Astyanax mexicanus: one gene and its partners. The protein of the gene in region 2 purifies or fractionates together with the protein of the main gene of each other region. This does not show direct contact. Links are inferred from orthologs where the notes say so. Each region holds a gene or a part of one and is shown on either strand. Other genes may lie near its edges.

Region 1 (11,313 bases), on a different chromosome or scaffold from region 2:
GTGATTTCTTTTTATTTTTGCGTTTTGGCAGCACATCATTAAATTTTACAGGATTTTTTTACACTGTAATAAAATGTGCAGTAGGGTCAGTGTTCTTTAAGCAGTGATGATATCCTTGATATACCTAATAATATATAATAAATAATATGTATGATTGTCCTCCTCTAATTTGCAGTATAACTCATGGCTGCCGAGGGTTAATATTTGGAAAAATATTTTGATAAACCAGAGAAAGATGTTTTTCCTGTGTACTGGCAATTCTCACAGACTACAGGGCGGATTGCAAACTCCCTTTCCATGCAGGCGTGTCACACAGCTGTATAAGCGCAATGCAGCTACGAGTAACAAAATGATTAAATATATATAATATTACATTGGATTAAATAAATCGTTTTTAAATATGTTTTCATTTGGAGTAAAGAAATATGTTGTGATGAGGTTCAATTCATAATGTAATTTGCGAATACCGGATGAAACACAAGCCAACGAGGGAAGTAGCAGCATTTGTTTGCACTGGTTATGTATTTATTTAAGTTTATATAAGTGTTTGAGTTGAGTTTGTTACAGTGAGGAAGTTGTGGGAAGTTGCTGCACTAGGCTGGGAAATCCTGAAAACTCCCTGTTTATGTTCTCATGGCTTCTGGAAGAAGGAGCGACATTCTGAGCTGGTGACGTAATCATGGGTTCTGTGTGTGTGTGTGTGTGTGTGTGTGTGTGTGTGAGAGTGAGTGAGAGAGAGAGAGAAAGAGAGAGAGAGAGACAGAGAGAGAGTGTGTGAGTCAGAGTGTCTAAGTACTCACAGCAGGGTCCTTTGTACAGCAGGAAAACGGTACTCCACATTTCTCCCGGCTCAGGTTGGTATCGGTGCAGTTAAAGTAGATGTTCAGATTCCAGTCCTCTGGCCCAAATGCTCCACAGCACTCCCACTGTGCATGCAAGAGATGTTTTACGATTTATTTCTAATTTTCTCCCATTTTTTCTCCTCAATTTAGCTAGACCAACTGTCCCACCCATTCCGCTGCTAGTCAGCTGCATATCCCCCATCACTAGTGATGCCACAACACAAGGAGGATACATGTAAAATCAGACACACCATTGCTGAGTAGCATCACAGCTCTAACACTCTGAGGAAAGCGCAGCGACTCGGTTCCGATACATCAGCTCACAGATGCAGCCTTGTGCTGATCGACATCACCCTGTACATCTACTGTACCCACCCAGAGAGAGAGAGAGAGCGAGGCCAATTGTGTTCTCTCAGGGCTCCGGCAGCTGATGGCAAGCCGCATGACCAGGATTCGAACAACAATCTCCCAATCATAGTGGCAGCGCTTAGCCTCATGTAAGAATACAGCATGTATGTCGTAAATTTGAGAAGAAAAAAAAATATATATATTGACTTTCTCTTAAGAATTACAAAGACATAAGAGTTCCTTCTCCTATCAACTTGCTGCTTTGGAGATATGAGGTTTTGTATCATCGATTGGGATGATTGACAGTATTTATATGTAATAGCAGTGCAATGTAATCCCATGTAATCCCATTATAATTAGTAATATTTTTTTTCTTTTAGCAGCTCTTCATTAATTTTACCACTTTTTTTAGCATTGCATAAATAACAAAACTAAATGTATTTCCTTCTGATTTCTCCACTAAACATAATTTGTATAGTAAAAACTATTTGGTACATTTATTTTGCCATTTTTGGCCGAACAAATTTGATTGGTGAATGTTCTGTGCATCCCTAATAACAAAAATATGCCCCATGAATAAGCATATTCTTACGTATTCCTGTGTAAAATCTATGAGGTTCTGCAGGTCGATGTCATCTCTGTAGGCTCTGATGTTGTTGTTGATGAAGAACTTGAGCTGGTCCTTGATCCAGTCTTTAAAGACGAAGGCCAGAACTCCAGTGGTCAGCTCCAGGAAAAATATTATCCCCAGGAATACGGAAAACTGGAGGAGGCGAAGAAAAAAATGTTAAGAAAATGAAGGAAAGAATCTGAATAACAGTCATGAAAAGCCAGTAAACCCTATGAAAAACTTTTGCTTAGGTTTGCCATATTTTTCGCACTATAAGGCTCACTTAAATTCCTTTTATTTTCCCAAAAAATCTAATGGACAGTGTGCCTTATAATCCGGTGCACCTTATGTATACATTTTACTATTTAGGTATTAAGGAGCAGTAAAGCACCTCTGCTGAAGTGCAGCGTTATAAGCACAGAGCACATAGTTTCTCAGAGTATAAAGTTTCTCCAGCACTAAGGCTGAGTGCAGCAGCTTTAGCATTAGCCGCTAAACCGCAGTGCTAGCTCTTTCGCAGTTCAGAGGCGAGTATATTGGAGTGTAGTCTGCGTGTTTGCCATGTTAAAACAAGCTATGTGGGACGAACCGGCAGTATTTAAAACCTGCTAGCACTGCGGTTAGCGGCTAACGCTAGTGCCGCTGCACCCAGCCTTAGTGCTGGAGAAGCTTCACTGAAAACTCTCCCTTATACTAATTTTGAAAGTCTAAACTTACTGTTAATAAACGGAAACGCTTTACTCACCCAAATAAACAGCTTTAAGGAAAGAAATCTGTATAGATTAACATCCAGCACTCGTTTGACTTCAAACGAAAAGTCTTTTTTTTTTTTTTTTATAAAAATTACAGTTTTGTTCACTTTGGCGTTTCCCCCAGTTTCAACATTCGAAGAAGGATTTTGGAGTAGTCTGTCCAGATTAATAGGTGATCCGAAATAATATTTAAATTGGACAGACTCCTCCAAAATCCTCTCTAACGAATACAATGGTATTGCGATATGCAGGTTCATTATTGATATGATCAATATGTGGCATCAAATACCGATATTTGTATTGAAACATAGGCCCTTTAAACTTCCTAAGACTAGTCCGCTAGTTTGACTTAGTAAAGTCAAACTACATATTACTCCATGTGGTGGCGCTAAGATCAAACGAATAGTCTAAACCTGCAGTAAGGAATATTGGTTGCTAAATTTTATGAAACCGACACCAAAAGATGTTGTGAAATATCATAGAGAATTGTCTTTAAATATACTGAGAATCACAGTATTGTGAAATCTTCGTTATCGTGGAAAATATACCGTGATAATATTGCATTGTTCACCCCTAAACCAGGATAAAAAAGATAAGTAAAATATTCTCCAACAGTCCTAAAATTGATTGTTTATTATGTCCAGGGGTCTGCCTATTTGTTCTCTGGCAAATGTCCTGAAATTCTACATTTGTATTGTCCACTGTACACAAAAACACAGGAAACAGACTCACAAACTTGAGCAGGAAGGAGTTTTCCCGCAGCGCTCCGATGCAGCCGGCGAACCCCAACACAAACATCACCCCTCCAACCACCAGAAACAGCCAGACAGGGTCGAACCCTCCCAGATCAGTGATGGAGGAGATGTTCGAGAGAACTCCCTGAGAGAAAGAGAGAAAAAGAGAGCGAGAGAGAGAACGAGTGAGGTGAGAGAGTCATTTTGTCTCATTTTCTGCCCAATATTGAAAGCCAATTAACCCTCTCCTCACTCATATGAACTGCCCTCTGCAGACAACTTTTAAGGAGATGTGGTTTTCATTTTCCAGCAGGACTTGGCACACTGCCAAAAATAACAATTGGTCTTATTGTTATTGGATTTTTGGGTTTTCATTGACTGTAAGCCATAATCATCAACAATAAAATAAATAAACGCTTAAAATAGATCACTCTGTGTGTAATACTGTGTGTCTATGTGTGTGTGTGTGTCTGTGTGTGTGTGTGTACCTTTTCGCTCCATGCCCATAAAGCCACGGACAAGAACGCCACCCCCAGCAGCTGAGGAGAGATTCAGCATCAGTTATAATGAGTGAACAAACACATTGCAAATGATTTATTTTATATATATATATATATATATATATATATATATATATATATATATATATATATATATAAAATAGTTAACTACATATACTACATATTTGAAGTATATAAATATATATATTTATATACTTCAAATATGTACAGTAACATGCATATATGATAAATTATAAAGAATATTATCATAATAATAATGATAATAATAATAACGTTGCAAAATAGCGCTAATCTAAGCTAATAAAAAATAAATCATGTTGTTATTATAATTAGTCACCAATACAAATAACAGTTATTACTGCTATTATTACACTGAAAAAAATGTTAATAATTGTATTAATATTTACACTGTGCAAAGGACATATTAACTTTGTAGAAATGTTTTAAGTCAGCCAATTTTATATTTGCTCATTTTTTTGTCTGATATTAAAGTTTGTTTGATAATCTGAAAAAAAAAAATTGGTATGTAAAAAAAATCTGTAGGGGGCAAAGATTTAAAACTGCATTTTAAACATGGCATTTTAACATATCTGAGTTTGTTTCAGTAAAGACAGAGTTAGAGATTGTCTGGTTTGTGAATTTTGTAAGTATTTGTGTGATTTTAAGCTAAAACCAGATCCAGATCCTCATTCTGACTGAAGCCCTGGACCCGATGAACCCGGGAGCTCTGCGAGCTCTGGAGCTGAGGGACCGGGCTGACAGACTGACAGTGCGCGCGGGGGGGGGGGAGACAGTAACACCGCGCGCCGCTCTCTCACCCAGAAGATGATGTTGAACCCGAAGATGAAGTATTTAATGCAGCACCCGACCTCGTGCACGTTAAAGTGCTTCCCGGACATCTTTACCGCGCGCTGCGTCTCTCCGAGAGATCCGCTGGAGCCGAGCCGCCGCTCCGTCGCCGCTCCGTCGCCGCTCCTCCGCTCACCCACCGCCTCCTGTCCGCCGCTCACCCGCTGCTCAGCGCCGCCACCATCGCGCCGGATTAAAGTCTGCGCCTCTAAACGCCCCGCAGGCGCTATTTAACAAAATAAACCCTCCGAGAAACGAAATACACCCGTGTCTAGAGACACGAGCTCAACCCAGCTCAACACCACAACAACGGAGCGGCGCTCCCTACCACAACCACTTAGCGACAGATCAGATCACTTCCGCCCAGCTCCATTCCTTAAATAAACTTATTTCAAAATAAAAGTCGAGTACAAGCTCTGGGTTCGCTCTAAGCGAGGATATTTACATCAAATCACATTACAATACATTACAATATAGAAGTGACCCAATTTACAAAAATTAATTTCAGAGAGGTTATCCTCGACCTGGACTTAAATCACCCCCTCCCCTGTCTAAAAAAAAAGAACTCACGCACACACCAAAGGATAACAGAACTTTATAATTTGGCTATTGCTCTGCAAAAAATAAGAGACCGCTTAAAAAATATGAAAATATCTTTGATTTTACCAAATTGAAATCCTCTGGAATATAATCAAGAGGAAGATGGATGATCACAAGCCATCAAACCAAGCTGAACTGCTTGAATTTTTGCACCAGGAGTGGCCTAAAACTATCCAAAAGCAGTGTGTAAGACTGGTGGAGGAGAACATTCCAAGAAGCATAAAAACTGGTGATTAAAAACCAGGGTTATTCCACCAAATATTGATTTCTGAACTCTTAAATCGTTATGAAGATGATGATTATTTTCTTTGCATTATTATTTAAGGTTTGAAAGAACTGAACCTTTTTCATTATTTTGTCCATCTCTTATTTTTTCCGACTTTCATGAGACTTGAGACATCTGTATATTGTATATTTTTGATAACCCCTATTTGACCACAAGGAGAGATTTATAATACATTTGGTTATAATCTTAGGTAAATAAGATACGCACAAATTGAAATTGCCCCAAAATACCTTCATTCCAAGCATTTGTTTATTTGGGTCTATATAGTTATATACATATCGTAAATTTAAATAATTAAAAAATAAAACGAATAAAAAATAAGAAGTCATAAATCCATTGAAGCTTTTAAATTTAGTTTAAATCCCACAATTTTTTATTTTGTTTTTATTTATTTTTTTGTTTTTTATGTTGTTGGATATATGATTCGCAAAATTGGTCTATTACTGTTTCTGTTTAGATTTGTTGGATAGTATTTGGTACAAAAATGATTCGGATAATGTACTCAACAGTTCCCTTAAACGTAATTATGGAGCTTTACAATCAGTCACGGTTTTTAAACCTAATATTTGTGGCTCTGCAGGAATGATAATAGAAAAAAAACATTAGTGCCATTTATTATATTTTTTCACTCCCCAATCTAATATTAATGTAATAAATAGAGGCATGAAAAAAAAACAAAACAAAGAAGCATCGATTGTTTTTAGCAAATGGACTTTTATTATGTCACACAGAGCGGAAGTTGCGTATTCAAAGGGCAGCAGTCTTCCTCCGGTTAGTGTGCGGGGTAAGACGGATCGGTTCCCCCGTTTAATCCGGTTTTGGCCTCCTCCAATCCGGTTTCTGGTCTTCTCTGATCCGGTTCCAGTGTGGTTGAGGTGTTCGGGTGAGGCTGCGCGGTCTGGGCGGTTCGGCGGGTTGAGCAGAGCTGAGATGTCCGCGGAAGAGGCGGAGAAAGCGGCCGGGCAGGAGGTGAGCGCGGCGGCGGGGGACGAGGAGGAGGAATGGCTGTACGGAGGTGAGCTCAATACTGAACACCAACACTGACTACTGAACACTCCAAAACACCCCATAATATTAAAACACTTACTCCTCAACACGCCATAACACTCTCTCCTCAACACTCACTCCTGAACACTCCATAACATTCAAACACTCACTCCATAACATTCAAACACTCACTCCGTAACATTCATTCACACCTCATAAACACTCCCTCCTAACATTCAGCCACACCATCCTCTCACACTCCGTCCTCACTAACACTTATTCACTCCCTAACACTCAGTAACACTCACTCCATAACACTCCAAAAACGTACTCCCCACTAGCACATATTCGCTCCATAACACTCTCTCCCTAATATTCAAACACTCCTTCCTCACTAATACTTATTCACTCCCTAACACTCAGTAACACTTACTCCATAACACTCCAAAGCACTCACTCCTCACTAAAACTTATTCACTCCATAACACTCATTCCTCACTAACACTTATTCACTCCCTAAAACTCAATAACACTCCCTCCAAAGCACTCCCTCCTAAGTAACACTCACTCACTAGCACTCCCTTACTAGCACTCCCTTCTAACATTCAAACACTCACTCATCACACTGGCTGACTCTGCACATACACTCGCTTTGCACGGACACTCACTCTACTCACTAACACTCACTCTGTACGGACACTCTGCAGGAACACTCACTCTACTCACAAACACTCACTCTACTCACAAACACTCACTCTACTCACAAACACTCACTCTACTCACAAACACTCACTCTACTCACAAACACTCACTCTACTCACAAACACTCACTCTACTCACACTCACTCACTCTACTCACAAACACTCACTCTGCACGAACACTTATCCACTCACTTACACTCCCTCCTAACAAACACTCAAACACTCACTCCTCACAGTAGGTGAGAGTGGTAGCCAAATAGTCCTGAATATTCTTGAAGTTTTGTAATATTTAATTAATTTTTACTTTTGTTCCAATGCACATGAATGAAAATAAACATTTTCTGGAAGAAATACTTAATTTCTCTAGAAAGAAAATATATGGATATAAAACAAAACAAATAGACCTTGCTTAAGTATTTACACTAGAACTGTTGTTTTTTTTGTATTTGATCAAATACAGTTGTGTCTCAGTATTGCAAAACTAAACAGAGTTCTGGGTTCTGGGTTAATTATGACTTCTAGACGTTATTCTACAGAAATATTACTGTATATTGTAATTTAAGTTAGTTTGCATTTATACCTTCTTAAAAGCATAAAATCATGTTATATATAAAAATGTACTGTTTAATATTGACTTGTTGGTGTTTATCCAGATGAAGGAGAAACCAAAGAAAATGAGGAGGAGGAGGTGGCGGCCAAACTGACCGCAGCAATCAGGTATTATACATACATTAGATCTGTTCACACTGTAACTGGTCTAGTTTGATTCTGTTCACATTGAAACTGGTCTAGTTTGATTCTGGTTACACTATAACTGTTGTAGTTTGTACTTGGTGGATCTGGAGTAGTTTGATTTGTATCAATGATAGTAGTGCTGGGCGGTATACCGGTCAATTAAAACGCGTACCAGAAATTAAAACCGGTATGGATTTTTTTATGTACCGCCAGACCGCTAGAGAATCGCTGTGTAGAGCAGCACCACCACCAAAGAAGCAGATACAGCTAGCTACCTAACGCTAGCCAGTTAGGACAACAACTTAACACACTTGAGTAATAGTAGCTCCGTCCTGCCCAGAGAAAAATGAGAACAGCACTTTATCTAAGGAGCACCTGCTGCTGTTTCTCACTGTATGGGTGTTTAATCTGAGTAAAATTAAAAAACTACAGCAAATATTCACTATTAATACTGTAATGCCTCTAATGGCTTCAAGAATAACACATAGTACATTGATATTAAATTTGTGTTTTACTTGTGCAATAGAGCTTTTGAGAAATATCTCTTTGATTACTTACATTTTGAGCATTTTAAGACCATTTAAAGAGTTTATGAAAATTTAAAGCATTATTCTTCTATATTATATGTACTCCTAATTTCTGCTTATACCGCCCAGCACTAAATGATCATCTACTTTTTACAGTGCTCCACCTGCCGCTCCTGTTACTGAGGAAGTCCCTGCCGGCAATGGAGTGGCTAGTCAGGTAAGAGTACATTTAAGTTATTATAATAAACTTAGGGACTGAGTTACCACTCATACAATTACAGTATTTAGAATAGAGTCATAGCTATACGATTGATGCGGTTGCCATGTCATACATGTAGTAGTCAGTTTTGTGTAGGTACTGGTGTGTAAATGATCAGTTCTGTGGCTTTTTTTAGGAGGAAGCTCCTGGAGACGATGAGGATAGTGAAAGTGACAGTGATGATGACGACGATGACGTCCGTGTTACCATCGGTGACATCAAGACAGGCGCACCGCAGTACACGTGAGTATGATGTGTTCTGTGTTACTGTAGAGAACCTGTCATCTGGGAGAAGACCAACATACTCCATTGTATGGAGTTGGACAGGTGCATCTAAAAAAAAAAATAATTTAATTGAAAAGTTACTTTTTCAGTTATTGCAGTAATTTCATTATGTTTTTTGCTCTTTTGATTGGATGTTTTTGTAGTAATGCTGTAATAAGTGCTGTATTTAAAGCTGTGGTGTCTTTTTCAGGACATACGGGGCAACACCGGTCAATCTGAACATAAAGTCTGGTGGCAGCAGGCCGTATGGAGCAGGTACAATCTGTAAATTAATAAGTCATGCTAACAAGCCACAACTCATGAGACAGGATGTTTGGACTGCTAGAGTCACTTGTTTTATGCACAGACAATTCTGGTTAGATGGCAATCGTCATTACCACCCACTGTGCTGTCGTCCACTGTGGGTGGTAGTGTCTTGTAGAATAGATTGACAATACACATGACACTCTGAGTCATGATTGAACAATGATAAAAGCCTTCACAACTTCAGAAATGGAATATACCACTATTGGCACCCACTATCAAGCCTCACTACAACTCCTTTTATTCATGTTGCCTTGCCATGAGCATGCTGGCCAGTGTATAACGTCACTCACAAGATAAAAACTCACATTTTCTAGAGGTGTGGCTGTTTACAAGTCATCCCCTGAGATAACACTTCTGAAAAATTGTCGTCTGCAGATTGCTTGATTTAGCTAATTCGCATTCTGGACTATATAGTAGCAATATACACTGATTTTGAGAACACTGAACTGTACGCAATATAAGGCAATATAATCAAAAGTGCGAAAAGTTTTGAAATTTATTACTCAGGTAGGTGGATATATACTAGTATTTTAAATGCTACTGTAGAATCTGAAGTATCTACTCAAAAGTAAAAATAATGTATGGTGAAAGAATGCTATTTAGGGCAAAAGGTTAGGCAACGCCATAGGACCTATGGTCCACTACAACCCCCCCTCGCCAACACATTTTACTAAAAGCCATAATGACTATAAAGTTATATTTAAATTCTAAGCTAAGTAAACTAAACTGTTCGTCTTAAAAATATATATTTTAAAGTCAAACAAGCCCCGGATGTTAATCTGTACAAATTTCTCTCCTGAATACTTCCATTTGTTTACAGTGAGCTTAGATTTCCAGATTTCCACTAAGGCTGGGTGCAGCAGCATTAACATCCAACCGCTAGCTCTGATGGATCGTATAAACCAATAGGGTGTCAAAATAATATCTAATTCAAGTCTAATTCACTCTGTCAGGATAGAGAAAGTTATCTGAATAGGGGTTTTATTGAACAAGGAGAATCCAGAATAAAAACAAGCTAAATGGGATTAACGATGCTATTTTTAAAATGTAAGGAGTAGGATGTTAAGTTAATCGAGTGAAAATGTATAGAAAGTAGTATAAAAAATGTGTGAAAAATAAACACTCCAGTAAAGTATAGACGGACAACATTTTCTACTTAAGTAAGCTGACTAAACGTTTTTTGTACTTAATTAATTGCTATCTCTTGGCACAGTTATCAGTGTATGTAATATAAACAAACCTTAAATCAGGTGTTTTAGATCGGACATTTTTTTTTTTGGGTCAATGTGGTACGAGCTAATTATCTGTGTTTCTGTGTTTCAATAGGAGCGAAGGTGAAGGGCGTGGATCTGGATGCTCCAGGGAACATTAACGGCGTTCCCGTGCTGGAGGTGGAAATGGAGTCCTTCGAGGAGAAGCCCTGGAGAAAACCCGGTGTGTTTTGTTACACTTTGCGAGTTCTAAACCCTCAGATTTTAGCTACTCCACCCTAAGCTCAAAATAAAATAATTCTAAAAAAAAGAAAAAATGGGAGGAGTAATTTGGGTGGGGCACTGGGTGATGTATGGGTTAAGGGCCAGGGCAGGAGGGAGAACTCCTGAAGAATTGAGAATTGGCCGAGCTACAGCAGCAGCAGCAGTAGTGTGGGAAAACAATTCAGCTATTAATGCAAGAAATAGGATTTAGGGTTTAGGTGATCTTTAATGCATGAGGGTGGAAGTTCTAAGCAGAGATCAGTGGTGCTGTAATGTCATTCTGATGTAACTGAACAATAATGAGCTCTAATAAAAGCCCGCTGTGGAAACATTAACTTCCGCATAGCGCTCTCTAGTGGAGGATATAAGCTACCAATGCTAATATCTGACAGTGTGACTCATATTAAAACTGTGTGTGTGTGTGTAGGTGCGGACTTGTCGGACTACTTTAACTATGGATTTAACGAGGAGACGTGGAAGGCGTACTGTGAGAAA
Region 2 (10,541 bases):
ATCTGTATTGTGTGATTTAAATGTGCTACGTAGCAAATAACATTTTGATCTATAAACGGTAAAAGTCTTAAGGTTGGGTTCCAGGATTTATTTGATAAGATAAAATAAGTCCTGGTCGGGAAACGTAAGCGACACGTGTTAAGTTTAACGACGAATTGAAATGCGATGACTTAAAACCAATGAAAGGAGGTCAGGCTCCACCCCTTGGATCAGATCCAGCCCCACCCCCTGGACTTGTGGTTCTGCAGCGAGGGGTATCTCTGACACCATGCCCTTTGAATTGAGAAGGGTAATGCTGCAGGCCGGAGCACCAGTGGGCGTGACTAAAGGGCGGAGCATGTGTCAATCATTTTCAACTGCAGCCAATCAGATACTACACTTCCGTTGTCAATCACTTTTTATTAAGCCAATCCTCAGACAGACCAAGCTGCCCATCATTTTTACTGCAGCCAATCACCTTAACAGATCTGTTAAAAGAAGGCGGAAACTGCGGTGCTACCGGTTAAACGTAGCGCGATTTAAACTTCTGAACAGCGGTGAAGCTGAATGTGTATACTACAATACTACATTAACAGTTTAAACACATTTATGTGCTACTGTAGTTAGTCCTGCCTATATGCCGCTCTTAAACAGAAGTAACTGAATGAAAACGTTAGAAAAGCCCTGACTTTTTAAAGATTAAAATACTTGTTTTTCTGGAATGGCACTTTCGTGATTTTTTTCCCTTTATTGCTGTTATTGCATTAAATCGTGTATACGTGTGTGTGTGTGTGTGTGTATATATATATATATATATATATATATATATATATACAGGTGCTGGTCAATGAATTAGAATAATTTGAAATAGTGCAATCATGAAATTCTTTGAATGCATTTTTTGTGCAGAAAGCAAATCAGGTGTTCACCGCACCTGTCCTACTCGTTAGACTAATCACAGAACTCGTTACCTGGAAAAAAATTTGCTCAGCTGAGCTTTCCAAAAGGCCCATTTAGGCCATTTAACTGTGACACTGTTGTTTTATTGAATTAGAATAATGGAGAAACCGTTTCATTGAATTAGAATAAATGCTCAAATTTTTGTTTTCTGTGAAGAGTGTTCACTGTGCAGTATAAAGTCAGGGTTGAGTAGAATTTCTAAGTTGTAAAATCAATCATGGGTAAGCAGCGCGACCTCTCAACCGGAATAGTGGCTCAAATTCAAGCTCTTCGCCAACAAGGCTTGACCCAAACTAAAATTGCAGAGCAGCTCGGCATCAGCCAGTCTTCCGTCTGCAAAGCTCTGAAGAAAAACTGCAGCAAGCGCACCAACTGTTCCGGCGTCCGAAAAACTTCTGCTCGCGACAACAAGCAGCTGAGAAAGATCGCAGTCAGCAACCGGTTCAAGTCCACTTCCGAGCTCACCGACTTGTGGAACAAGCAGACCGGCGCTGACGTCTCCAGATCAACCACTTACCGTCGTCTGCGCGAACTCGGCTTCAAATCTCGCGTTCCAGCAGTAAAACCGATGCTGAACAAGAAACAAATGGAGAAACGGCTGAAGTGGGCCAAAGAACATGGCGAGTGGACTGCTGAAGACTGGCAGAAAGTGGTCTTCAGTGACGAATCACGCTTCTGCATCTCCTTCGGTGACCAAGGTCCTCATGTCTGGCGTCGTGGTGGCGAAACCTACAACCACGAGTGCGTGAAAAGATCCGTCAAGTTTCCCCAGAGCGTTATGGTCTGGGGATGCATGTCCGCTCAAGGTGTAGGGAAACTCTGCTTCCTCAAGAAGACTGTCAATGCTGCCGTATATCAAGATGTTCTGGAAACGTTCCTGATTCCGACTGTTGAGGAACAGTTCGGCGAAGAAGACTTCATATTTCAACAGGATCTTGCACCGGCTCATGCGGCAAAGTCGACCAAAGATTGGTTCACTAAAAAACAGCTTGAAGTTTTGGCATGGCCGGCCAACTCGCCTGACCTCAATGTCATTGAAAACCTTTGGGCCATCGTCAAGCGGAAAATTCGCGACAGAAAGCCTACTACGCTGGACCAACTGAAGCAGAACATCGCCACTGCCTGGGAAGCTGTGAGTGCGGAAACTTGCGACAAGCTGGTCAAATCGATGCCGCGGAGACTTCAGGCAGTCATACAAGCCAAGGGGGCAGCCACAAAATACTGAGAAAGTGATGATTGTAATTATAATAAAAATTATTCTAATTCAATGAAACGGTTTCTCCATTATTCTAATTCAATAAAACAACAGTGTCACAGTTAAATGGCCTAAATGGGCCTTTTGGAAAGCTCAGCTGAGCAAATTTTTTTCCAGGTAACGAGTTCTGTGATTAGTCTAACGAGTAGGACAGGTGCGGTGAACACCTGATTTGCTTTCTGCACAAAAAATGCATTCAAAGAATTTCATGATTGCACTATTTCAAATTATTCTAATTCGTTGACCAGCACCTGTATATATATATATATATATATATATATATATATACGTACACATACGTATACACGATTTAATGCAAGACAGACAGACAGACACTTTATTGATCCCCGAGGAGAAATTTTGGAATTACTGCAATAAAGGAAAAAAATCACGAAAGTGCCATTCCAGAAAAACGAGTATCTTTGATTTAAAAATATCTAAAGTCAGGGCTTTTCTAATGTTTTCATTCAGTTACTTCTGTTTAAGAGTGGCATATAAGCAGGACTAACTACAGTATCACATAAATGTGTTTAAACTGTTAATGTAGTATTTTGTAAAACACATTCAGCTTCACCGCTGTTCAGATGTTTAAATCGCGCTACGTTTAACCAGTAGCAACGCAGTTTCCGCCTTCTTTTAACAGATCTGTTAAGGTGATTGGCTGCAGTAAAAAATGATGGACAGCTTGGTCTGTCTGAGGATTGGCTTAATAAAAAGTGATTGACAACAAAAGTGTAGTATCTGATTGGCTGCAGTCGACAATGATTGACACATGCTCCACCCTTTAGCCACGCCCACTTGGGCTCCGGCCTGCAGCATTACATAGATGTTTGAATTGCCCCTTGGGGATAAATAAAGTAATCTGAATCTGAAATCAGTGATGAATTATGTTATTAATTAGAGGAAATTAATTGGTTAATTAAATTAACCAACAGAAATGGCATCTACACAAAGAACTGTAAGTGAGTATGTGTTGATTTAGGCATGTGCTATCTACAGTTAGCATAAGGCTAATTGTTGGTGTTAGCTACATTTAGACTACTAGAAGAAAACATTAGACACCGAACTTGACATTATGCTTCCTTATTACCTTATTCAGTCATTGATACTAACATAAATATATATTTATTTCCCACAGCTACTGTATATGGGCAAGGTGTGTACTTCGCTGTAGAATCTGCTCTGTCTGTGTCGGACACCTACTCCCCACAAAACGCTGACGGACACAAGTTTATATTTGTAGCCAAAGTGCTGACCGGAGACTACACCGTGGGAAGACATGAAATGAAAGCTGCGCCACCGAAGGAGGGTTCTGAAATAGCTGCCCGGTATCACAGTGTGACGGATAAAATAGACTCCCCAACGTTGTTTGTTATCTTTAATGACACACAGGCATTCCCGCAGTACCTTATTACATGCAAGAAGGTTAATTGAAGTCCGATTGGAGCTGAGTAAGTTTCATCTGAGTAAGAATTGTATTTTAACAAGTGTAGTATGATTGGTTAGGTGGTTTAGGATAAAGTACCAGTGTAATTGCCATAAATTCCCATATTCCCACTGATGCCACAGGCTATAATGTTTTGTGGTAATTTCTGTCAAAATATGTTGTTACAACATATTACAACACAACTACCATCACTTAAACAGTAGGAACTACAGGCACTGCAAATTCATATTGGATTAAAGTCACTCCACGATTATTTCTAAGAGACTGCAGATACACACTGCAGATTCATACTTGAATTAAGCCAAACACAGTGATAACTGTCAGAAAATAACATCTGTGTTTTTGTTAGCTGGGATTATACACAAGGCAAATTCATATTGGATTAAAATTGTTTTAAAAATTGTTAGTCAGACTATAATAACTACACATACTTCAAAATTATACTGGATTACAAAAATACCACAGATAAAGCTCCAGTATGTACTTCATGATCTGCCTGTTCTCTACAGATTTAAAATATTAGGTTTAATATTAAGGTCAATCTTACTAAGTATGATTTAACTGTGGTTTCGATGACTGTAGTTTCAAGTCACGTCTTAAAAAGTGGTATAGAGATGCTCTTACTTTACCTATTACTCCTTTATTAAGATTGCTATGCCTGAAATTACAAAGGAAACAGGTCAGTGAACTTTACAGATTAAAGCCTGACATGATCTGCTGTATAAAAAAAAGAGAAGCGCCAAAGATGTTTTTCTCAGTATGAAATAAAAAAAATGCCTTACCGTGACGGTTGAATGTGAGCTTGGCTTGGATGTGGGCTTCTTATTGTCGGGTCTTCTGTCTTCTCTGTGCTTTTAGTAACTTTGTCTTCTGCACTTTTTAACATAAAAGATTAATACAAATACCGTAAATGCATTTATTATTTAGTCTATCTAGTCTAATCAACTGTAGCCAAATTTCTTTCCATAGAAACACATATTTTAATATGCCATTGCTGTATTTAATGTGAATGTAATGAAAGAATGGTAAATAAAAGTCTGTTTACCAGTGTCCAAAAATGTGTGTATGTAAGTGTATAAGAGTACTCATGAACTACAGCCCTTAACTACTCTGTGTAGGCTGCCATTGCTAGTGTGGATTCAGTTACACACTTGGAGGATAATGTGATAAAGACAAGAAATCCTTAATGTCTGTAAGGTGTGAAAAGGACTATTAAACACAATTTAATAGAGCTTGCCTGTATTCCATTGTTGATACATTAGCATCATTTATTGCTTTACATTTTTATAAGTAATTCAAAAGGCACTTATACGTTACCAGCTTGCCCTCAACTCCCCAAACACACTGGTATCAGTATTGTATAACCCCAAATCAGAAAAATGTTTGGGACAGTATGGAAAATGCTTATTAAAAAAGCACAGTGTTTCCTACATTCCCTTTGTCTTTTGAACACAAGATCTTTTATGTTTTGTCTCGTCAACTTTAATTTAAAAATGTAATTTATTAATATACATCAATTTCTGCATTTCAGGCCTGCAACACATTCCGAAAAGTTATGTCAGTAAAGCATGTATCACTTTTTAATGTTGCTTTTTTGTCAAACATTTAAAATATGTTTTGGAGCTGGTGATGAAGTGTTCTGCAGCCATGACAAAGATATGGTCCTGAAGGTCTTAATGTACTTTTCTGCATTAATGCTGCATCACACCACCATACCACTACAGACCTGGCTTTTTGACTTGTTGCTGATAACAGTCTGGATCGTCCTTTTCATCTTTGGTCTGAAATATATGGCATCTATTTCTTCCAAAAAAGATTTGGAATCCCACTGCATCAGTCCCCAGTCCCAGATGCCTTTAGAGCCCAGATAATTTTATGACACTTCTGGACATGGTGAACATAAGGCTTCTCTTTTTTTTTTATTGTTTTATTATTGTCATTGTATTGTGGTGACAAAGGTTTGTCAAAGGTGATTTTATCAGTGTGGTCAAGAAATGAAATAAAAAATAAAGGAAATATAAAGTATTTCACATTAAAATGAATATAGTACCATTACATAACTTCTACATTATAAAAACAAGCAAAAGCTGGTATTCAAAAGGGACAGTCTATAAATAATAAACAAAGATAAACAATTTTCTTAAAGCCAAAGTAATTATAATGTTATATTAAAATGTTAATGTTAAACACTTTGGGATGCACTAGGATCCCTGTTTCAGCTGCATATCTGCCCATTAAAAATGGGAATGCAAATACATTTTATTATATTGTATACTATTCTTTTTAAACAATAAGAGTCCCGAATAAAAACAAGCCCAAATGAAGTAACAAATCTATTTTTAAAATGTAAGAAATGTAAAAAAGTTGTCAAAAAATACTTTAGTAAAGTATGGATTACAAAAATTTCGTAAGGTAATTAAGAGTCAAACCTGGAAAGTGCACTAGAAAGTGCACAAGTGTACACAACGCGCAAATTGGAACAGACCCTTTCTGACTGGAGCCGGGCATTGTGGGAAGTGTAATGAATGACTCGTTGTTGTTGTTAGGCTGCTAGCTGTTTCTGTTCTGCTGGTAATTCCTCTAAAAATGTGATTTTGTTGCAGAGGGGGGGACACAGAGAGGGTTAAAGGTGGAAGCTGTAAGGTGCTGTTGTTCCGAGAGTGAAGGAGCTAAGAGTTACTTGTGTTTTAAACTAATAAAAGTTAGCATTAGCATGTTAGCTAACCTAGCTAGCACCTGGCTAACACGCTAATATGAGCAGAAGCGTGTGGAGCTCTGAGTGAAGAAGTGAAGACAGATGCTGTAGGTTATTTCGTCTGTATAATAAAACACAATTTTTATCTGCAGACGTTTTGTAATAGAGAATGTGTTTGGCGCTTGTAATGGTCGCTAGTTTGAAAGTGAAGCTTAGTTTTACTTTATATTGTTAATCTTCTGCTCCACCTTAAATGTTAATCTCGTTAACGCTGGTTAGTTAGCTAGGCAAATAGTTAATTAACCTTTCTAACGATTGTAGCTACAATGTACAGCTAAACTGCTGTAGCTGTCGTTGTAGTTAGAAATTAAAATCCAATCTCAATAAGACGCTAATTTAAGATTCGCAGTTTTGAGAGATGTTTTGCCGTGAATGTAAACAACACAGTAACCCCCCAAGACCCACTTCTCCTACATCTTAATATACAGACACAAATTTGAGTGTTTTAAGCCTATATCTAGCTGCAATTATTGTAGCTACTTGTTTAAATTAGTTTTAAAATAGGTGCATTGAAACGTATACAGGGTACAAGTGTAAATGATACAAAACATTTTTTCTCTGCAGTAAAATAGGTTGGTCTCATTCTAAAAACTTGGAGGGCTCTGAAATCTCCTACGGGACACTTATAGAAGATGACTGTTTACTTTCTACTCCAATTAATAATTTCAGATCAGTAACAGGAATCAAACCCAAATCCTGCAGGTTTAAAAAAAAAAAAACATAAAAACTGGACAACTGTAATGAAACGAAAGATTTGGAGGACCCGAACTGCTTGATTTGTATTTAGGAAAATACTGTTTTTGAAATTAAGTTAAGGAAAGAGACAATTTTATGACTGTTATTCATTACATTTTTAAAGTTGCAGATTTACTTTTTTTTTTTTTTATAATTTCTATCACAATTACAATTAGAAATTGTAGTAATGTATATTATCAACCTTGAAAGCTTTTTATGTAATGCTTGAATAGAAATCTTCAAGATTAAGGTGTGTAAAATCAGGCAGAAAATTGACAAAAATGCTGGCCTGTGAAAGGGTTAATATGTGCGGGCTGCTCTTCAGGTGCTGAGCTGGGGGCTGCAGGATGTATGCTGTGTACCGGCAGGCCCACCAGCCTACCGGGCTGGAGTTCTCCGTCTACTGCAACTTTATATCCAGCGAAGAGAAGAACCTGGTAGTGGCTGGAACGTCTCAGCTCTACGTCTACAGGATTATTCATGACTTTGAAGTAAGTTGTACAACTCTTTTGTTTCTCAGATTAAGGTTGAGCCTAGTTCTGGACTATCTACAGCATTTTAACTGGAGAGTCTGTGTCGTACAGGACCAGGTTTCCTGTACAGGGATAAAAATTGGTCCTGGACTATACAGCATTTAGAGAGGAGAGACTGATTTAAAAGAAGAGTGTTGCACAGGAGAAGGTTTCCTGGACAGGGATAAAGCCTGGTTGTAGACTTTGTTCTTTGTTTTAAAAGAAAGTCTCTATTTATCATGCTGTGAAGTCCAAGACTGTGGTTAACTCCTGTTTGGTGCTGTAACTATCATCAGGAGATTGCTGGTTTGAATCCCGGTCACGCAGCTTGCCATTATCTGCTGGCCTTGCTCTCTCTGGGTGGGTAGATGGTGCTCTTTCCCTGAGCTGACTCCTCAGAGTTTGCTGTGATGCTACTTGGTAATGCTAAATCAGTAGCAGTTTAAAAAGAAGTGGTGGGTGACTTCACATGTATTGGATGAGTTATGTGCTAGTCTTCACCTTCCTTTGTTGAGGGATCACTTGCGATGGGGGATATAGAGCTGAGTTGCATTGGGATGGTTGGGACAATTGGCCTTGAGAAAATGGGGAAAACAAAAAGATTTTCAGCTCATTCATGATGCATTGCTGATACAGACATGGAAATACACACATACATCATCCTCATCATCATTGTTTTGTGCCTGCACAGAAGTACAGTATGTAGAAAATAAAAAAGGACTCTGCAGCAGATAAACATGAGCTTGTTGGCACCATGCTTAATGCCAGGTATGGATTAGAGGGGGTACATTGTCTATTCAGAATTAAGATGGGAGCAGTGAACCTGTGTTGTCTGGAATGATGGCAAGTTGGGGATAAATTGTGTGCATGGGATTAAGGTGAGGTGATGATGCTGACCTTCCCAACGCTCTTGATGCTGAATGCAACCTTATTCACGTTCAGTAGCTCTTCCATTTCCACTTGAACAGCGGACCATCCATAAGAGAGAAAATTACCCCAGGACCCCCTGAGAAACTAATCTGGTCCGGATAGGGTTATAGTCATTGTAACTGTAAACCCATATACAGCTACTTATTAGTTTGGGTACATATTGTGTCATTATATTATATCTGTAAAGCTGCCTTGCAGTATAGCTTTATACACTGAACTTTACACTGTGTATGAACTTATTTTAATATTTTTACTATTCGTTTCAGAATCCGGCAAAAGCAGAAAAACTATCAGATGGGAAGAGCCGTAAGGAGAAGCTGGAGCAGGTGGCGTCCTTCTCTCTTTTTGGAAATGTAATGTCTATGGCCAGCGTTCAGCTTGTAGGGAACAACAGAGATGCTTTGCTCCTGAGCTTCAAAGATGCCAAGGTAAAATTAGATCTGTTGTGGTAGAGTAAGTTTTTTTTTTAAATCTAGCACTGCAGAAACAACACATGTTGCACTGTAAGGTTTAGCTGTATCAGTTGTAGTTGATAGAAAAGGACCAGTGATATATATATTATATATATATATATATATATATATATATATATATATATATATATATATATACACACTGCTCAAACAAAAATAAAGGGAACACTCAAATAACACAATATAACTCCAAGTCAATCAAACTTCTGTGAAATTAAACTGTCCACTTAGGAAGCAACACTGATTGACAATCAATTTCACCTGCTGTTGTGCAAATGGAATAAACAGGTGGAAATTATTGGCAATTAGCAAGACACACTCAATAAAGGAGTGGTTCTGCAGGTGGGGACCACAGACCACTTCTCAGAACCTATGCTGTCTGGCTGATGTTTTGGTCAGTTTTGAATGTTGGTGGTTCTTTCACACTCGTGGTAGCATGAGACGGACTCTACAACCCACACAAGTGGCTCAGGTAGTGCAGCTCATCCAGGATGGCACATCAATGCGAGCTGTGGCAAGAAGGTTTGCTGTGTCTGTCAGCGTAGTGTCCAGAGGCTGGAGGCACTACCAGGGGACAGGCCAGTACACCAGGAGACGTGGAGGAGGCCGTAGGAGGGCAACAACCGAGCAGCAGGACCGCTACCTCCGCCTTTGTGCAAGAAGGAACAGGAGGAGCACTGCCAGAGCCCTGCAAAATGACCTCCAGCAGGCCACAAATGTGCATGTGTCTGCACAAACGGTTAGAAACCGACTCCATGAGGATGGTATGAGGGCCCGACGTCCAGTGTTGGGAAGGTTACTTTTAAAATGTAATCCCTTACAGATTACTGATTACATCACTCAAAATGTAATTGGTAACGTAATCAGTTACATTACTTCAAGTGAGTAACGTAATCTGATTACTTTGGATTACTTACAATATTGTGGTTTTTTTAAGCCTCAATGAATGTAGCAACCACATATTGCATATTATTCTTTTATTTTTCTTTCCAGTTAACAAATAGATAAACAAATAAAAAAGCCTTTTCAATCACTCTATAAAAATACTTATGAAACCATTTCATCAAACAATTTTATGAAACACTTCTATAAATTGATAATAAAACAATTTAAAACCAAACAATGTAACAACAACTGTAAGCTATCTACTTGCAGGTTTGCCACCAGTGTTAATTTTGACAACAAATTTTGATTTAGTCTTAGTTATAGTCTTGTGACGAAAATAGCATTTAGTTTTGGTCACAATTTAGTAATTTAGTCAACTTAGTTTTAGTCGACTTAATGCCATAAGAATATAGTCTACTAAAATTACAGTAAATTTAGTCGACTAAAATGTAAAGGGTGTAAATGTAAATGCTTTTTCATCAGTTCCCTTGAATTATTAACTCTACACGTATACGAAATGAAACGTTTAATAACCACTTGAGTAATATTGTTAATGTTTGAATGTGAAATATATTTATATATGATTTAATGTATATTATTATTATAGGTG
Region 3 (10,788 bases), on a different chromosome or scaffold from region 2:
TTCTTTGTTTCTTGGCTGTGCGGCTGTTCTCTCCCTCACTGCGTGCCCTCTGCCCCCCTCCCCATCCTACCTGTAGCCAACTTTGTGCTGCCTGAGGCTGGAGACTTTCTGGATGAGGTGATTTACGTCGAGATGCAGCGTGAAGAGGCAGAACCACTCATCAAACAGTACAACGAGGAGGGGCGCAAGGCCGGCCCCCCGCCCGAAAAGCGTTTCGACAACCGCCAGGGTGGATTCCGTGGCCGCGGAGGAGGTGGCGGTGGTGGGGGTGGTGGTGGTTTCCAGCGCTATGACAACCATGGCGGACCTCAGGGAAACCGAGGCGGTTACCAAAACCGTGGCGGACCTGGAGGAGGAGGTGGTGGCTTCCGTGGAGGTATTAGGCTTTCAAACTATATGATCTGATAATGTCTCCTTACGTAGACTGGTCACGGTTTTATACTAACTTTTTATTGTTAGGTTAAATAAAACAGTTTATTGATAAACATAAACATTTGCTTAAATAACTGAGAATAACTGATAATTGAGAATATGTCAGCATGTATCGGCCAAATCTTGGCATGGGCCGGATTCCAGTGATTCTAAAAAAAAAAAATAGTAATAATAATCTGCCGATATAATTCCGATATCATTTTGCATCCCACAATTATGCTCTAGGTTTTATTCCAAAGCATTTTACAAAGCAAAGCTTCCTTTTCTCACTCTCCTATTTATTGTGCTGGTGCTGCCTAGTGATTTGAATATGCTCTTTTATGTTTCAGTCGGATAAATGGTGTATGTGTTCCTTTGTGCTTTCTGTAGGTTACAACCGTGGTGGATACAACCAGAATCGCTGGGGAAGCAACTACAGAGATTCAGGTGGCCGAGGAGGCTACAATCGCAATCAGCAACAGGGAGGCAGCTACAACCACAATCGCCAGGGCTCCTACAACAAAGGTAGCTCTGGAGCCAGCAGCAGCTACAGTCAGTCCCAGGTAACTTGTTAATTTGTGGTGAATAGTTCAGGAAAGTAATGGATTGTGGTTTATGTTGTAATAACTAAATTGTTTTGTATAGCCTCAAAGCTACAATCAAGGTTACAACCAAGGCAGCTACAGCCAAGGTTACAACTACGGAAACTATAGCCAATACCCAGGATACAGCCAGGGCTACAGCCAGCCACCTGCTACCACGAGCCAGTCATACAACCAGCAGCAGCAGCAGCAGCAGCAACAGCAGCAACAACAACAACAACAACAACAACAACAACAACAACAACAGCAGCAGCAGCAGCAGAGCTACAACCAGCAGTATCAGCAGGTAAGCTACTTCAGCACTACAGATGTTTGGGGAAAGGATATGGTGTGATGAAACCTGCAGTGACACACCTTTAAAAAAATAACTGGACAGTAGCATCATAGTTCTTTGTGGTACCTTAAATAAATATCATCTTGGGGTCTCTCAAACATAGTGTCAGGAAACGTATCTAGTACTTATTTAGAAATAGTTTTGATAATAGTGTTTGTTTGACCTGTGATCTTGATTGATCTTTTTTTTCATTGTTGTGTTTGCAGTATGCTCAGCAATGGCAGCAATATTACCAGAGCCAGAGCCAGTGGAACCAGTACTACAACCAGTACGGAAACTACGGCAGCTATGGCAACCAGCAGAACACGCAAGGCTCCCAGGGCACACAGCAGTAGTACCTGCATCGACCGTGACCCTCCAAGCTCATTCCGTCAACATCATTCCTCTGCCTATCTTTTTATAGTCTCCGTCTTATCTTACCCTCACATAGTCTTCCTTCTCCCTTACGCCACTCCCCTTTAAAAGCTTTGTATGTTTTTTGTTTGCTTCTGTTACTTTTTACCCTATTTGCTCAGCCTTAAATGTAACTGCATTTCCTTGCGCTCCATTAATGCATTTTAGTTCTGGTGGCAGTAGCCAGTTTTGCTCTTGAAGTGTTATGTTAACTCAGAGTTTAGTTCAGATATTTATAAACGGCAAGCAGGCAAATTTATATGAGTAGCGACATGTGATGTAGTTTGTTCCAGATACTGCACGCACAAATGTGCTTGAACGCTTTGTGGTTGATTACGTGTAGTGGGGGCGCAGGATTTTACATCTGATCAGTTTTGACAGTTTTGTATGTAGAAACTTGTTTCTCTGCTCTTTTTATTCATCTTTTAAGAACCATATTTTCCCTCATTGGTTTAAGAAAGCAATCTTGTGTAGATAAATACTAAGTGAACATTTTAACAGCATAATTCTTTCTAACGCTTTAATTGAAATCATGTACCTGTGGAGTTTGTCAAATCCTTTTATATACCATTCTTAATGTCTCAACTGGCTGGCTTCATGTCTTCTCATGTTTAGTGAGCATTAGTTGCTCCTTGTGTGGTTGTAAAAGTTTTTATACCTTGTACCATGTTTGTAAAACAATATTTGCATGTGGTTTTGTGTCAGATCAAAACTCACTTTTTTGTATTGGAGAATATAATCTAAGGAAATGACTTGATTTGTTGTTTTGTAGTTTTCTTTTATTCAAAGTGATTGTAGATCATTTGTTCTTGAAAGCAGCTTTCAGTCAGACCAAACATTTAAGTGACTGAAGTTACTACATCCATATGTGCAACCAATAGTAATTATTTAAACTACTGATATATTTTTGATGAGCACTATAGATTTTATCGGTACAAAACGTGTCCAGTAACAGCATGTAAAGGTGAAAAAAATGAATAGGATATTGCTAAAATATCCCATCTTGGACAGTACCTACGGCTATTATTAAACCTAAAGTAATTAATGTTAGCTAATTTAACCAAATCTCTTAAAAAATGAACTGAAATTGTGTTAAAAAATTTTCGTTCTAAATGGTTTGTATCAGAAATGTGTACTTTTACGGCAAACGATTGCAAAAGTGCATTTCTGTTTATAGTGGTTATCTGACCTGCCTGTGAAAATAGATTAATGGATGAGTGTAAAATGATAAAAGAATTTGTGCACAAGTATATTAATAAATAGTGTAAATACACATGGTCAAAATCAATATAATAAAACCTTTGTGTCTTCAGCATAACTGTTTCAGATTTATAGGCTATAACAATATATTTTTCAAGATTTACTCTGAAAGAACACGTTATTACAAATATAGAGGAATGTTAAGCTTTAGTTTAAAGTACTTTTTTTTTATTTCAAGCGGTTTTCTTTAATGCGAAAATGTTCTTTAGTGCGCAGATTTTTGCAATGTCTGCAGAGTTCCCTGTTTTCTATGTATCATATTGTGTGTATAATTAGCTGAGGTAAAGCTTTAGCTGTCCACCCTGTCCTTCTAAAATATCCAGGTAATGGACCAAGGTCACCATGAACAGTTTCCAAATGTATGCAAACCTAGGTCATTCGTGTTTTCATTAAATGCCAATTTTTGCCAAAACTGTTTACCCTGTCGTGCATCTTAAGTGAACAAATGTGCTTGCCATTGGAAAAAAAATAATTATTTCGGAAAAATTTGATTTCTGTACCCATATGTAAAATGTGTGTATTGCAGTAGAATACAGAAAATTGTCCAGTGAAAAATATCATTCTCCATTTGTGTAGCTACTATATAAACTATTTAAATAATTCTGAATAAAAAGAGTGAAATCTTCCATTTTAAAACATTTGCTAAATTTCAATTTTGGATATATGCTGGATATATGCTAGGTGTTTTAGTGGACATGGCTTTTGTAATTGTTTGTAATTGTAAAAACATCAAATTAAAGGAATATAATGCCCATATACTGGCTACAAGTGTAGATGAAACAAACATACAAAGCCCCTAAGGTGACATCATGTTAAAAAAAAATAATGCATGGCCATGATTTAAGGTGTGGGAATGAAATCCTAAGGCATGGCTTAAAAATGCATTGGAACAAGATAATTAAGTTGTAGCCAGAGAATAATAAAGCTTGCTTTTCTGTAAATTAAAACCCATGAAAAAGATTTATTACATATAAGCTCCAAAACAAGGAAAATTTGTAAGAAAATGGAGAGTTAATAGGTTTCTTTTTTATTTTCATCTTGAAATTAATGATGGCGATATTTTGGAGTCTCCTGCAGTGAGACAAGACTTAATCTAAGTAAAAGACTCTTAATTTTCAGACTTAAAGCTAACGGGCTCAGACGCAGACAGTATACAGACCCGTTTACCTTCATTATGCAGTCATGTTCCAGATCTTCCTTCCACTACCAGATCAGGAGAATCTCTCGCTATTTTTAAGAAACTCCTGAAGACAGAGATCTTCAAAGAGCACTTACTCTCCTAACACCTCTAACAAACTAACTTCTTCTAACCTCACTCCCTTCTTCCCCTCCTTCACTCCTCTATCCTACTATTTCTCTTTGACCTCCTTTAGGCCCTATCTAAAGATGCTTTTACCATTAACATCTATTACTTTTTGTACTTCACTATTGTAAGTCGCTTTGGACAAAAGCGTCTGCCAAATGTAATGTAATGTAATGTTGTGCACAACCCTTGAGAGCTGCTTGCTTTGTTTGCTGTGAAACAAAAAAGCTTATGACCACACCTCAATGTCTACGATTTAATTAACTTGTTCCCACGCCCTAATATGTCGTGGCCATGCCTTAATCATCTCATTCCCACGCCTTAATAAGTTGTGGCCATGTCTTAGGATCACATTCCCATGCCTTGTTTATCTCGTTCCCAAGCCTTAATTATCTCATTCCCTCACCTTAAGTTGTGGCCACGATGAAAGAACTCACTCCCACTCCTTAATAAGCTTGGCCACGCCTTGGGATCTCATTCCCACGCATTTTTTGTTATGATGTCACCTTGGAGGTTCTGTACGAAACTCTTTCTCTGCAGTAAAATAAGTTCTTTACATTCTGAAAACTTTCAGGGTTTTTGAGGACCATGGAGAAGCAGCCTTTCCACTCTCTACTACAATAAATAGATAACTCCAAATTAGTAAAAGGAATCTATGGAGCCCCTAAGGTGACAAAATATATAATAATGTGTGACTATGACTTATTAAACTGTGGGAATGAGATCCTAAGCCGTGGCCACAACTTATTAAGACGTGGAAATTAGATAATTAAGGCGTGTCCACAAGGTCCTCTTGTTTCACAGAAGCAAGCAGCTCTTGTGCACTATATGACTGCCTAAGAAAGGTTAACGGGTCTGTTTGCGTCTGAACCCATCAGCGTTTAGTATGACAATTAATTGTCTTTTACTTAGAATTGTTCCATGTTTCACTCCAGGAGACTCCAAAATCTTATCATAATTCATTCCAAGATGAAAATAAAAAGAAACCAGTACACTCAATTTTCTTACAAAAGATTGTCTTTGAATTGGAGCTTTGATGTAATATTTTTTCATGGGCATTAATTTACAGAAAAGCAAACTTTATTATTCTCTGGCTCTGACTTATTTATCTTGTTCCCTCGCCTTAATAAGTTGTGGCCACTATTTTTTTTTTTAACAGGATGTCACCTTAGGGGCTCCGTAGGAATTCCCAAATTTTCCATTTTTGAAAATAGACATAAAAACTAGATAACCGTAACGAAATGTTTGGAGGACATGGAATGTTTTATTTTGGTTCAGGAAAGTTTGAATTTTAAAATGAGGTTTAGTTCAGTTTCATGATTTTTATTAATTATACTTTGACAGCTGCAGATTTAATTCAAAATAAACATGAAACCCTTATATTTAATGTCTGAAGAGAAATATCAGGATCCGCAATATCAGGCTGATTTATTATTATTTTTATAATAATAAATGGGCTGTGAAGTTTAGACGGAAGTGTATGTGTGTTGTGAGAGTCTCCAACAACCGACACTTCCGTTCAGCTCCGACATGGCGCCTGTGGAGTGAATGGAGTGATGGAGATGTGGAGTTTACAGCCGGTCTGAGTGAACAGGAGAGAGATAACACTGCTGTGAGTTACTGTAACGAGACTCTGCTCTTTAACTAACCCCGCGGGCCGGTCTGGTGCTTCTCATTTACTATTAAAACACTATAATACACAACCGGCTCAGAGGCCAGGCTGTAGCTAACGGTAACTATGTTAGCTTAGCTAAGCTAGCTTTAGCTAGTCAACTAGCTGATTAGAATTCTCCCAACAGTCAAGACTCAATATTCAAAGAGAGTTTACGGTCATGTGAACAGTAAAGGAACAGGGTTCCTTCTACAATTAAATTCTTTATGTGGAAAAAAAAGTCTCACACAGAACTTTAGCTACTTGCTAAGCTAGCTAGGTTAGCTAACTAGCTCCTCATACAGTGAATGGAGAAAGTGACTTGTGTTTATGTAGTGTGGACCTGAGTGTTATCAGAGTAAAAGCCCAGTTGGTAGTGTAGCTCTGTAACGAAAAAAGCTCGTAGTTAGTTAGTAGTTGTAAATGTAGACTGCAGGTCTCACACAGAATCCAAACCCACAGTAAAATAAATCTCAAGTGTGTTTTGTTTAATTTGTAGTAAAGTGGAGTCGATCAGTGCTTCTTCAACATTTGTGGCACTGTGACTCCCCCAACCCCAGCCAGGGATTTTTAAATTTAAAATAAAGATAAATGGACATGCCTAAAAATCGTATATAGACAGGTCCATTGCAACAGGACAGGCAAATCAATCAATTGCCTTTTTAGTATCTCTTTCAAATGGGGCCCCTTCTAATTGTTACAAAACATTTTTTCAAAAACTATTGGCCATGATGATCAAAACTAGTCATCGCCGAATAACATTAACTTCCTTTTCATAAAATTACCCTGATCACAAGGTTCAATGTGTTATTCCCCAGCAGAAAGAAATAATGGAATTGCATGGAAGTCTGATTATTTTTTGAAATTTTGCTGTTGTTTAGCAGACAGAATGGCGTCAGGCTCTGGAGAAAGGCACTTTACTGGATCGGAGGAAGCAGCCATCGATATGACCACCAGTGAAAAGGTAATATAAGGGATCCTTTGTGGCTTGGCCGATCACTTATGCAGTTCAAGTTCTGTAGTCCATAACGCTTCACAGTGTCTTACGTTTCTGGTTCTAATACTCCTAATTCAACTTAGGGAGTGCTTACTTACAAAACTGTTGGTCAGCAGTGGCTTAGACTACATCATGCATGGCTCTTGCAGTCCAGGAGGATTCTAAAGGTTTAAAGAATTACCTACTCAGTCACACAATATAAGGCTGTGACCAGTTTTAGAATGGTTGCTAGAGCAGAGGAAATATCACACTGAGCGAGACTGTGGCTTGTCAGAAATAAAAAAAAAATCATATATATGTATATATATATATATATATATATATATATATATATATATATATATATATATATATATATAGCTTTTGAATGTGCATCACAATGAAATGTTTTAACTGTTCCTCACAACTGACTGTGCATCATAGGTAGTGGACCTTTTGAACCAGGCTGCTTTTATGTCCACTGATGATAAACTTACTGCACTTAAGCAGGTAAACATATTTCTATAGCATTGTGTGCCATTTTTACACAATCAGATGTTTGAATTGCATGCTTACTGTAAATATTTGTTTTGATTATTAGGTGCAGGAGTTGATTATTAACAAAGATCCATCATTACTTGATAATTTCCTGGATGTAAGTAAAATCACTTTTAGTGTTCTATAAAAGCTTCTAAAAAGAAATCCTTAAGGCATAAACTAAAATGTCATCTCTCTCATTTCATCTGCAGGAGATGATTGCGTTTCAGACAGACAAGTCAATTGAAGTGCGGAAATTTGTTATTGGCTTCATCGAGGAGGCGTGGTGAGTTCTATTTTTGTTTTGTTTGTTTACGTGATGTTCTTATTGCATTTCTTAATACTCATCTGCATTATTTGGTCATGTTGGTTGGCAGTGCCAAATATACAACTGCTCTACTATATACAGTAACAATGTATGAAAAGGTGTGTCAATATATATGTGTTGTATAGTGTAGTATTAATAATGTATGTGTGTAAGTTTACTTTACTCAGTCTACTTTATCGTACACATAGAGATTTTTGAGCTTTGAGTTAGTGCTTCATGTGACATGTGTGTATAAAGCGATGCTGTTTAATTTACATAACAAAGAAACTCTTTGGTGTTAATAGCCGAGAACCAGGTAATGTCGTTTACTTGTGCTGTTTCAGTAAACGGGATAATGAGCTGTTGCTGAAGCTGATTGCGAATCTGAACATGCTGCTGAAGGATGAGAGTGTGAATGTTGTGAAGAAGGCCATCCTCACACTCACTCATCTTTACAAAGTGTCTCTACAGGTATTTTTCCTGCTTTACTGCTTTACTTTTTTATGTTGTCATTCAGTACCTTGTAATGACTGACATTTAGAGCCAAAGCCTTTTGCAGCATTTCTCTTACTGATATCTGACTGTTTTGGTTTGTCTTTCTGCCAGTGGTTGGTGCAGTCAAAGAGTGTATCTGAAATGCAAGAGGCATGCTGGAATATGGTGACCCAGATGAAGGAAGAGGTTCTGGCTCTGCTAGATTCAGACAATGACGGCGTTCGCACCCATGCCATCAAATTTACTGAATCCCTCATAATCGCCCTATCACCACGGAAACCAGACTCAGATGTACCCAAGAAGCAAGAGGGGGACATCAGCCTTGACAAAATTCCAAAAGATCACTCGTACATTCGCTATGGTGGGTCAAATCTATGACAAAGTTGTGTTTAATGAGATTTTTAAAAATATTATTTTATGCTTTTACACAATAAATTATTTAACCAAAGTACAAAATCTAGTTTCAAACTATATATGGCAAACAGTTTTTGTGTTTATTTTTCTCCCATCATTTGGCAGCTTTCATGTCCATAAATCCAGGTTTAATAATTTTTTTTTGTTTCTTGTTTTGTTTCGTATTTAATCCCTCTCACTTTAGATGTTCTTTGTGAAGAGGGGAAGTCTGCTTTAGAGCAGCTCCTCAAGTTCATGGTGCACCCAGCCATTTCCAGCATTAATCTCACCACAGCTTTGGGATCACTGGCCACGCTGGCCCGGCAAAGGCCCATGTTCATGTCAGAGGTTGTACAAGCCTATGAGACTCTTCATGGTGAGTGGAAATCTTATAGTGATTGTGGTGATTGTTAGGATTCTACTCAGACAGCCCTGACCGCCTGACTTTTTTTCTTTTATAGCCAACCTGCCCCCAACTCTGGCCAAGAGTCAAGTGAGCAGTGTGCGAAAGAACCTCAAACTGCACCTAGTGTCTGTGTTGCGGCACCCTAGCAGTGTGGACTTCCACAGCCAGATCTCCACGCTGCTGCAGGACCTTGGTATGGCTCAGAGTGAAATCGCACGCTGTGTACCTGCTGCTGCGCAACCTCGCAAGAGATCCCGCCATGAGCCCTACAGTGAGGGCAAGAGGATCAAGATTGGTGAGTAGACAGGTTTTCTGTATCTTTTTGTGTAGATGTTAATAAACAGCTGGTTTATTCTCTGAAAGAGATGGTGACATTTACTGTAGTTAAAACCAAGACATATTTAAAAAAATGCTGAAAAGTTGCATTTTGTTTTTATTTTGTACTTGAGCATTAAGGCTACCAAATTACAAAGTTGGTTTAGATCATGTTATGCAGTCAATGGGCAATTCTACTGATATGGTAATGAGTTGTTTAGATGTACAGAAAAATCATTTAATTTAAAATAGCGAATTGTGTTTCATTGCCTCATCAGATGTCAGATAATTATTAGAAGTACAGTCTCTGAGTGGTTGTCAGTTTGAATAACATTAGGATTTTTCTGCCCGTCTCCTAGAACCCGCGCTGATTGAGGATGATGAGGATAAGGAAGAGCCAGCCCCTGTTGTTGCCCCCAAGCCTTCAACCACCACAGGCACTCAGTCTGCCATAGACCTCACTGCTGACTTCATACGGCCTCTGCTAACACCGGAAAATGTGGCCAACCTGGTATACACTGCTTAAACAATGTGTCTAAAGATTTATAATCCAATAATTATATTTATTTATTGATTAACATACTTCTTCTGTTGCAGGTACTCATTAGTATGGTTTACCTACCAGAAGTCATGCCAGCCTCCTTTCAGGCTACCTATACACCTGTGGAGTCAGCAGGCACAGATGCCCAGATTAAACATTTGGCCAGGCTCATGGCTACGCAGATGACTGCAGCTGGCCTTGGACCAGGTTAGGAAGTGGTGATATACTGGTGTTGCTTATTGCTATGCTTTCTATCCACTGACGTTTTCTGTAAATGATCAATGTACACATCTGTGAATATGTAATATTTGCAGTAATCATCTGAAAATATGCCTTGAACTGTTATGCAATAACAAATTGCAGAACAATTTTCTCATTGTCCCTCAATCCCCAGGTCTAGAGCAGTGCAAGGCACGAGGGGAGGAGGGGAAAGAGGGGGAAGGCGAGGCAAGCATGGAGGAGTCCAGCTCTAAAGACCCTCTCATCATCCGCAAAGTTTCTGCAGTGTCTTTGGGCCAAGCCATCTCTGTGGTGGGAGCATATAAGAGTCAACCTGCTGAGGAGACACCTCAGGCCAAGAAGCTTCCAGAACCTATTCTGCCTTCAACACAGTCCAAGTACGTCAGCTTTCTTTTCCTATTTCCTATTTTTTAACATAGTTAATTTTCACTTTCAGAAATCACATAACTGAAGCATTTTGTATTAACTGCATGGTGCTGTATCTCTGTAAAGGCCAGTATCACTGAACATGCCAAAGTGGACAATTTTATATAGAAAATGTTTCATGGAGCCTTTTGTCTAATAACTTCTGTTATATGATCAACTTCACCTCATTCATATCCCACATAGTATTTTTTGTAAGCT

The links.
Region 1: the proteins of cpsf1 (region 2) and fip1l1b fractionate together in Homo sapiens (co-fractionation; 8 studies listed by BioGRID and IntAct, with this or other methods). This does not show direct contact. The link is inferred for Astyanax mexicanus from reciprocal best matches to the Homo sapiens genes CPSF1 and FIP1L1.
Region 3: the proteins of cpsf1 (region 2) and sympk fractionate together in Homo sapiens (co-fractionation; 5 studies listed by BioGRID and IntAct, with this or other methods). This does not show direct contact. The link is inferred for Astyanax mexicanus from reciprocal best matches to the Homo sapiens genes CPSF1 and SYMPK.

The regions. Positions count from the first base shown.
Region 1 is NC_064432.1:5,937,732-5,949,044, reverse strand, and holds the start of fip1l1b (pre-mRNA 3'-end-processing factor FIP1), read left to right. Parts: upstream 1-6,283; 5' UTR 6,284-6,472; coding exon 6,473-6,557; intron 6,558-7,884; coding exon 7,885-7,948; intron 7,949-8,649; coding exon 8,650-8,710; intron 8,711-8,888; coding exon 8,889-8,995; intron 8,996-9,227; coding exon 9,228-9,292; intron 9,293-10,669; coding exon 10,670-10,777; intron 10,778-11,245; coding exon 11,246-11,313. Other genes in the region: tspan5b (tetraspanin-5), read right to left, coding at 801-926, 1,783-1,953, 3,285-3,431, 3,775-3,825, 4,626-4,706.
Region 2 is NC_064410.1:32,870,480-32,881,020, reverse strand, and holds the start of cpsf1 (cleavage and polyadenylation specificity factor subunit 1), read left to right. Parts: upstream 1-6,110; 5' UTR 6,111-6,212; intron 6,213-6,296; exon of another isoform or gene 6,297-6,443; intron 6,444-7,456; 5' UTR 7,457-7,478; coding exon 7,479-7,622; intron 7,623-8,839; coding exon 8,840-9,001; intron 9,002-10,541. Other genes in the region: uncharacterized protein parp10, read left to right, coding at 3,333-3,628. UniProt on the Homo sapiens protein: Component of the cleavage and polyadenylation specificity factor (CPSF) complex that plays a key role in pre-mRNA 3'-end formation, recognizing the AAUAAA signal sequence and interacting with poly(A) polymerase and other factors to bring about cleavage and poly(A) addition.
Region 3 is NC_064408.1:29,755,869-29,766,656, forward strand, and holds the start of sympk (symplekin), read left to right. Parts: upstream 1-5,758; 5' UTR 5,759-5,915; intron 5,916-6,835; 5' UTR 6,836-6,843; coding exon 6,844-6,918; intron 6,919-7,374; coding exon 7,375-7,440; intron 7,441-7,531; coding exon 7,532-7,585; intron 7,586-7,679; coding exon 7,680-7,753; intron 7,754-8,118; coding exon 8,119-8,245; intron 8,246-8,380; coding exon 8,381-8,630; intron 8,631-8,867; coding exon 8,868-9,038; intron 9,039-9,123; coding exon 9,124-9,363; intron 9,364-9,742; coding exon 9,743-9,894; intron 9,895-9,980; coding exon 9,981-10,131; intron 10,132-10,318; coding exon 10,319-10,541; intron 10,542-10,788. Other genes in the region: hnrnpul1l (heterogeneous nuclear ribonucleoprotein U-like protein 1), read left to right, coding at 77-376, 802-974, 1,057-1,299, 1,554-1,682. UniProt on the Homo sapiens protein: Scaffold protein that functions as a component of a multimolecular complex involved in histone mRNA 3'-end processing. Specific component of the tight junction (TJ) plaque, but might not be an exclusively junctional component. May have a house-keeping rule.